Kluyveromyces lactis: one gene and its partner. The protein of the gene in region 1 binds, or shares a complex with, the protein of each later gene. Links are inferred from orthologs where the notes say so. Each region holds a gene or a part of one and is shown on either strand. Other genes may lie near its edges.

Region 1 (4,312 bases):
GTCACCTCACATGGTATTTGTATTAACGTTGACCCAGACTTGTCTTATATGAACAGTTTTACCATGTGCGGGCTGTCAGAAAAAAAAGCCACTTCCATAAGAGAACAAGTCCCTGATAGTTCTACCTCTGTTAATGATGTAGCAGTTGCATTCGTGAATCAATTAGCTAAACTTTTGGGCATTACCACAGTAGAGAGAATTCAACTTGATGATTTACCCATTTACACTGATTAGACGCATCACCCGTAGTCTGCAAGAAATGCTTAGATTAATTTTTACTTTAAGAATGATATTTATGATTAGTTTTACTTTGTTGCATATTTAAACACAGCAGCCAAAGCCCCTGCCGAGATAGAACTTAATAAAAGCAAGTTGGTTGTAGTACTGGGTAATTTACTACCTGTTGATACAGCTGGTAATTGTGCAGTACCATCGTCTTTCGTCTTTACCGGTTTTGACTTTGCTTGTTGTAATTGGGTATTTTTAAATATTTCGACCTCAAGACGTGTCTGTAATTCATCAACTTCACTTTTTAGCTGTTTGATCTTAGTATTTTTCAAGTCATTATTTTCCTTTAGGGAGTCATTAAGCTTCTTATTTTCTTGTTTTAATGCCTGTATTTCTTCATTATGGATGGTGGTTAGTTCTGCCTGTTGATTCGCAAGCTTCTGTTTAACGCTTTTCTGAAGTTTGACTAGTTGTGAGTCCGCTTGCTCCATTTTCATCTTTGATAGATATTCAAGCTTTGTAATATAATTAACGATGAAATTGTCAATCGATTTCAACTTTTCATATTCCAACTTTTCAAGTGTTAGATCTGTCACTAAGGTCTTGATGATATTAATCAAATTCGGACTTGTTCCGATAGAATTGTTTATAAATATTCCACTCAATATTTCCGTTTCAGACCCCAATACAGCATCTTCGAGGTCAAGATTATTTACATCTCCGAACATGGCGGCTTCGAACGCAGCTTTTTGAGCAGTTGTTATCGTGACCATTGGGTCTGGAATCCCATTGTTTGCAGGTGTACTCCTGAAATCTCGTTTATTTGATACTAGTAGTTTATCGTTTTCGCCAATCAACGGTATCACTGAAATGTCCTCCACTAATGCACTTATTTTACGATGTTCAAGCTTTGTGTCTATATCCGTCCCTAAATCTATCACATCCCCCACTTTGATTTCAACATCAGTTTGACCGATCCTACTACCATTCACGAAAGTACCATTAGATGATTTCAGATCACGTATACATATTTTACCAGTTTTAGCATCACACGATAACGATGCATGGTTTCTTGAAAGCACTCTAGAATCAAAATTTCCATTATCAGCTTTCACCTGTGGATCAGCTTTGCCGGAAAGTCCTCCGTTACTTCCAGAATTTGAAGCTCCAATGACAGGTCGTCCCAATTTTAGTCCACTGGGCTTGAATGGAACTACTAAGAATTTAGTCTCAAATGTGTTGTTCAACGATTTTAGAACCAAAACATGTGTGTATTTGTTTCTGGCCTGTGTTCTCTCATCTTCAGCGGAAGTCAGTTTATTAAGAGCGTCATTACTTGAATTCAAACAGTTGTCATTCGAAGAACCGTTGCTGCTTGAGTTGGAACGAGCTCTTCTTCCTTTTGTTTTTGATGTGCTTGTGTTATCGTTACTCTGGTTTGCTGAAAGAGGATCCAATCGACTTCCTTGTTTCTCAGTCATATTCACTGCTTATAAGAACCCAATTAAACCATATGCAAAAAAAGGTAGTGCAAAGTGCAAGTTCTTATTCGGCTTCTGATTCACTTCAATGGAGAGACTGCCTCGTAGCAAATACTGCTGAAGCTGCTTTACCACTTCTGTGAAGATAATACTAAAATCATGAAACTGAGAAAAGAATGGACTTAATTTCAATCACAATTATTTTAATTCACCACATAGAAAAGAGGTAAACAAACATTACGCAACATACACATGAAAACACAACACTTCACATAGATCGGCAGGATTGTAATTGGATAACGCACTGTGATAATTTGGCATTGTTATTTGAGCTGATTTGACACAATGGAAGAGGTACTTTCGGAGGGTGTAGATGCTTTAGCAGCATGTGTCGATGACATGGCGAAATGTTTAACCGTATCTAAGGTCACTACAGATAGAAGCACTAAACTTGCTATAAATATGCTACAAACTAAGAGGGTATTCCAGTTGGTATCAGAATATGATGTGCAGAGGGCCAGACTTGATTTGATGGAGGATATAGAACCATTGTTACAAAAACTATATAGTAAACTGGAAAAAGCTCTAACCAAATTGGAAAGGGAGCGGGCCACTCTATCACAAACATTCGAATTGAATAAACTACGATTCAACAATCAAGAAAGTAACCCCATCATAGATAATGTGAAATCGGATCCAGTTGTAATAGTATCCTCGACACATGAAGAATTGGAACGTCTCAAAGACTTAAAGAATCGTAAAGAAGAACTGATACAAAGAATACAGGAATTGCATGAAGAGAGATAAATAAGCATACGCCGACTCTCTATCTATCGCATTGTTAACTTAAATTTTGAATATTTACAAAGTGATTGCTGATTTTGTTTTCAAGCCCGTTCAACTTTGCACTGACACTAATCAATGTAGGATCGCTGGTGGTAATTGAAACTTTCTCGCATTCAGTGACAACTCGCCCGTTAAATGTCACACACCTAGCCAATAGATCGCTTGCTTGCGGAAGAGTGATTCTTTCAGTTGCTGAAAAACTGGATATCAAATTGTTTATCATAGATGTTTGTTCAACTTGCAAGCCTTCTTCCTTAAGGATCTCTGCGATTTTTCCATTTCTGTCTTGCTTCAGCCTGTCTCTGACTTTATCACTGAATGATAACCCAGTTTTCGAATCGATCTCACTCCAGGGTTTTTTAATGACTTTTGTCAAATTCCTAATGTCCAAGCAAATCTCGTTTTTGAATAGCACTAATTCCATATTGACCAAATGATGTGCTGATTCACAAATGTCATGAGATTCAGAGAAGTTGTCGTTTAAGAAGCTGTTGTTATTATGCGGAAAGACCAATTCTCGTGGAGGATTTTGTAATAATGTAATAGATTGTGTAAGTAACTCCAATATTTTCCCAATTTTATTGTGAAAAGTATGAATATCATCAAGTTTCATATCGTGTAATTCGGAAAGTTGCTGTAATTCGTCAAATAAGGACAATACGGATGATAAATTTGTAATTATGGCATTTATTTGAACTAAGGGAAATTGTTTATCAAGGTCCATCTTTAGAACTATTGGTTTACCCCTGCTAAAGTCTGGAAGCTTAATGATAGCCTGAAAATCCACTATAAATCCGGCCTGTCTAGTGATTGTCCCTTTAATCGATGTGCTGTCTGGCGCGGCACCTGATGTGTTAACGGAGACACTATTCCCATTGGTAAGAGGCATTCGAAATTTCTCAGGACTAGATAGTTGGTTTATGCATTTCTCAACATGGTCCATAACGTTAGGTAGCTCAGGCTTTATGATTTCTTTAATCAACCATGTCTGTTGTAACAAAGAGCTCTCCTCATATGTAGGAGCATTTTTATATGCCCCATCATTATATAATTCCGTAGTCATCTCGGATTTATGCAATTGAGAATTAATGTAGCAAAGCTCCCTTAGCGTGTAGATAGCAAGAGCCTTGCTAAGATGGGCGTTTTCCTTTGTCAACCTTTTTACTATTCTTTTGCCTTTTTCGTATGATGATTCTTCTGAATATTTCAAATTTAAACCTTTTCTTGAAGTTGATGCGACTCACCCACATATACTTTAACTAGAGATAAAGGAAGATCATTGAAAATTGTAAAGTGGTTGTAATTGAAATTGCTGGCGTGGATTAGGATCAAGGTTTACACAGATTCTAGATTTGACTCAATTGACGAGTTGTACTCCGGGACACAGCTTTTTATTATTAGGGAAAGTGTGCTATTAAACGCATCAGACGACGACCGCAAATGTTTACTGTAAGTAAGAAATCCTTACAAGCAAGTCGTAACGCTTTCAGTCCATTGAATAATAGCAAGAGAACAATCGTATTTACTGCAATAGCAGCTTTTGGAGACCTATTGATTGGGAAAGATGTTAGACTAGCAGATGCTATGGAGAAAGGGAATCTGCATAATAAAAATGGAGAGTATGAGCATAAGATGGAACAAAGGACTCAAGAAAGGTTAAATGCATTACGAAACACAAGACCGATAGAACCTAATTATGAGGGTCATGTTCCACTTTGGTGGTATGAGCGAATGATGCTCTTCGGTATCAGTGGTTT
Region 2 (3,991 bases), on another chromosome or scaffold:
TAGATCTTGAGATCTCGATGTTGCTGTTTCTATAGTCTTTCTATCTGTTGATGTCATTAATTCATTACTAGTTGGTGTTGTTGTTGTTGTTGTTGTCATTTCATCTTCTTCCTCCTCCTCTTCTTCTTCAGCTTCTTCTTCCTCCTCTCCTTCGCCTTCCTCCTCTTCATCCTCGTCATTATAAGAGCTGTATATTGGTCTGATATCGGTTTCAAAGGCCACATCGTCATTTAACATCGTGATGATAGGTTCTTCATTTGCATCGAAATATTCGTCATCTGAAAAGATGGAAGCAGTTGGCGATCTGGGAACCCATTTAGTAGCTAACATCTTACCATCAATATCAAGTTGCTTGGCAATTTTCTCCAAATCAGCTAGCTTTCTATATAAGTCATGATGTTGAGGCTCGTTGGGATTATTAGATAAGATCGAAGTATCATGGCCTGAGGTAGCTTGTTCTACAAATGAACCGTTCCGTTGCCTAGAAAAGGAGTTCATGAATGAAGAAACAGACGAGGACCGTGACACATTCCTCTGTTGCTTTGAAGATGTCGGAGGGCCCTGAATGGGAGATACTATTGCGTTAGGTGTGTAGTTAGAATAGGATAAAGATTGATACTTGCATTCTTCTATTCTTTTCCTTAGGGATGTTAAATTGCGGAAAAATGCTGTGGTATCATTATCAGGAGGAATGACAACGTTATGCGATTCGTGATCTTGCGAAGTAGTTGGGGCGTCTTGTTTGAAACATGACTCGATCATTGAAATCCAAAGTTCCCAATCTTTTTCGTCACGAGCTTTCATGACCCAGATCTCCATGCCTGAGTCAATGATAATAAGTTTAGTTTGCTTATTTGCACTTATTGATGAAAGTGGGACAACAATCTCACCACGACACACAGGAGATTTAGAGTTGAGATAATATGAGAGAATCCCAAATTTTATATCGAGTTTAAAGAACCGTTTGGTAAAACCTTGTAGCTTCTTTCTCTTCTTTTTTAGTAAATATCCTTGGAATCCTTTACTGTTTTTCAAATCGTGATCTGTCGCGGATGTAGAACTTGGACTCAGTGGTTTTATTGGCACTGGAGAATTAGTGTTTGGTCCGTTAGATGTACCCACGTTGGAAATTGTGCTTGGAGTAGTCTGGCCTGGAGATGGCGCAAATGGATTGGAATTCGATTTTGCTAATGAGGACAAAGATGGATCCTTGAATGACGTTTGGCTATAATTCAAAGGTCGCTTGCCATTCGTCCCATTGGCACCAAAGCTTTCCTCTTGGTTTGAAATGACGGATTCCTGATCGTCATCCAAACCTTCCATTGCCGATGCACTAGGGTTGATACTCACCGAAAATAAACATTTTTTCTTAGTCTGCTTCGAAGTAGTATTGTCTAAAATGAACGCGTAATAACAACTCTCACAAGTTGATTCGAACGATTCGGCAACGGTATCGTTGTTAGAAATGGTCCCATACCAGGTCACCTTTTCCAGACCGCTTTGTGCTAACCTTGTTTGCAACGGCACGTTTTTGTCCTTTTCGTGATCTGCCAAGGCAACGTTAGGCTTGGCATCGGTTGAAATTCGAATTAACGGATTAGTATTACTATTCGAAGAAGCTTTTACACTCCCATGGTTTGTTTCACTCAAATCAGTCGTGGATGATCCACCAAACCGTCTGTATATACCAAACCCTATCGATTTTTTCAAAGGTTTCAACCGAAACGAAACTATATCACCTTGAGAAACTTTCTGCCAACGCACAACAAATGATTTATTTTGAACGTCAATAGTATCCATGTTTGATGCCGAAAAAAATTTAATAGTTACAATTGAATCACTCTCGAAACTAAGTAGACGTTCCAATCTACCTTTATCGGTCGGTTATTCGCTGAAAAATCAATTCTGAATAAGAGAGATTAACCAGGGGAAAAGATCAACAAACACCTGATAGGCACGCAGTAAGAATGGTAATTATTCACAGGTGAAATTTAACTGACAATATCCGTTACCAGCAATTATCACCAAATTGATATATGATGCCCGCCAAAAGCTCGAAACGCACACTAGAAGTCTGTTATAGATGAAATTTGGATCCTTGTTTACTTCAAATTAAAGGTTTAGTTTATTATACTCAAGCTTTTTTTTAATTCATTTTCACTGAGAAGCTGCTTTGGGGCAGGTACTAATTTTCATCATTTAAAAAAAAAAAAAAAAAGGTTTATAATAGCATCCAACATGTATTCAAATGCAAAACATCGGTCAAAAATGTAAACCACAAGGAAAACACAGGCACTAGAGGCTACAAAACTGGTGTATAACTATCCGTCATCAGTTATATTTGTGATACATACCATGGAAAACCCGTATGAGAAAGTTCAAAGCAATATTCTGGCTAGAATCATTGGCAATGTCGAAAGGTTGAACCAGAGTGTAGTGATACTAAACCAAGAGCTTCGAAGGGTAAACACCAAGAATAAGAATTTGGAACTGATGTCACAAATGTGTGAGAACTATAGAGAATCTGTTGATTTCCAGTTGCAGGCAACTTCCAAGAAACAGGACCCATTGTAAGGTCTCACATATATTCTAACGAGAAGAATTTATTAAAAAAAAAAAGCAGTTACTTAAGTGATGTAGTATGTACGTATATACATACGCCTTTTTATAGTCGGTTTCAGGACCGTACTGATTCTAATTTACAGATAATAATGGATTAATTTTTTTTGTTCATGTTCAGTGAGTTTTAACCGGTGCAATTTTGTCTGCGGATTGTGTTCCAACTTGTAGGGACCTTAGTTTGGCAAAAGGTTGTATCTCTTCTTCAAAGTAACTCTTTGTCTGGAGTATTTGTCATCTGGAGAGAATCTAGCAGGGTGAGCAGACTTTGTAATTTCATTATCCTCAGTCATCTTCTTCAAAGTATAGATTCTCTTGCCTTGGGCATCCAAAGTGTACATCAAATGCATAGTGGGTAGTGGGTAGAGTGTGATAGATGCTTTTGGTTGGAAGTGAAAAGGAACTAGATATATGGATAACAAGACACTTTCTTTCAAGCGATGAGCTATACCGATCAGTTAGTTAATGCTATGTTGAAAAACTGATTATATCTCTTTGAAAATTTAGCAGATGCACTTGATGGAAAAGAAATATTCCAGTTCGTATCATGTGATCTGATGATATATTCTCTAACGTAAGTAGCGATATGTGTTTTGATTATCTTTTTCTAGTCACGTGTAAAACGAAGGAGGCTGGATCGGTTCCAATGATCGATTGATTGATAAACTTTTGTAATCGGGTGTTCACGTGACCTGTGTGTATTTTATTTGTATTTTATTTGTATTACCCGGCCACTCTCCTATAAAAAAGGGGTCTCATTTCCACACATAGTTAAGGACCCTGCTTACTATGAGTGTTTTTATGACAGGAACTGAAGCTGGAACTGGAACTGGAACTTTCAAAGGAAAAATGAAAAAAGACGAAAACGAAATTTGAAATTGAAATAGAAATAGGAATAGGAATAGGAATAGGAACAGGAACAGACATTGACTATTAAAGCTTTAATTTGATATAGACATAGGGCTTGTCACTGATAAGAATAATATATTTTGGTCCTGTGTTGAAAACAGCGGAAGGTTGTATATCGTGTTGAAAACGAAATTAACAGTAATATAGGAGTTTCGGTTCGTAAGTTCTACGAGAAACTAAAGAGATCAGATAAATTTATACGATGTCCAAAGCATTTCTTCGTAGTGCAAAGAATTTAGTCAATGGGTACTCTCAGGCTCAGGTTCTCGTTAGAAGTGCCACTTCTAACGATAAGGACGGTCCGTCCGTTGATCAGTTGGAAGAGTTGGCTGAAAGGACATTTGATAACGTGGAATTTTTCGAGATCATGGATATGTTGGACAAGAGATTAAACGATAAAGGCCGGAACTGGAGACATGTCGCCAAGTCACTAACGTGTCTAGATTTCTTGGTGAGATGCGGA

Evidence for each region. Proteins that work in one complex are often made in the same cells at the same time.
Region 2: SPC19 (region 1) and DAD4 share a complex: the UniProt entries of both Saccharomyces cerevisiae proteins name them as parts of the DASH complex. The link is inferred for Kluyveromyces lactis from reciprocal best matches to the Saccharomyces cerevisiae genes SPC19 and DAD4.

What each region holds. Positions count from the first base shown.
Region 1 is NC_006040.1:1,584,339-1,588,650, forward strand, and holds SPC19 (Spc19p), read left to right. Parts: upstream 1-2,054; coding exon 2,055-2,516; downstream 2,517-4,312. Other genes in the region: lipoyl(octanoyl) transferase LIP2, read left to right, coding at 1-234; KLLA0_D18799g (uncharacterized protein), read right to left, coding at 306-1,709; RAV2 (Rav2p), read right to left, coding at 2,551-3,618; ubiquinone biosynthesis protein COQ4, read left to right, coding at 3,996-4,312. UniProt on the Saccharomyces cerevisiae protein: Component of the DASH complex that connects microtubules with kinetochores and couples microtubule depolymerisation to chromosome movement; it is involved in retrieving kinetochores to the spindle poles before their re-orientation on the spindle in early mitosis and allows microtubule depolymerization to pull chromosomes apart and resist detachment during anaphase.
Region 2 is NC_006039.1:1,464,792-1,468,782, reverse strand, and holds DAD4 (Dad4p), read left to right. Parts: upstream 1-2,355; coding exon 2,356-2,574; downstream 2,575-3,991. Other genes in the region: oxysterol-binding protein related protein OSH3, read right to left, coding at 1-1,800; snoRNP complex protein NOP10, read right to left, coding at 2,796-2,969; ENT1 (epsin), read left to right, coding at 3,731-3,991. UniProt on the Saccharomyces cerevisiae protein: Component of the DASH complex that connects microtubules with kinetochores and couples microtubule depolymerisation to chromosome movement; it is involved in retrieving kinetochores to the spindle poles before their re-orientation on the spindle in early mitosis and allows microtubule depolymerization to pull chromosomes apart and resist detachment during anaphase.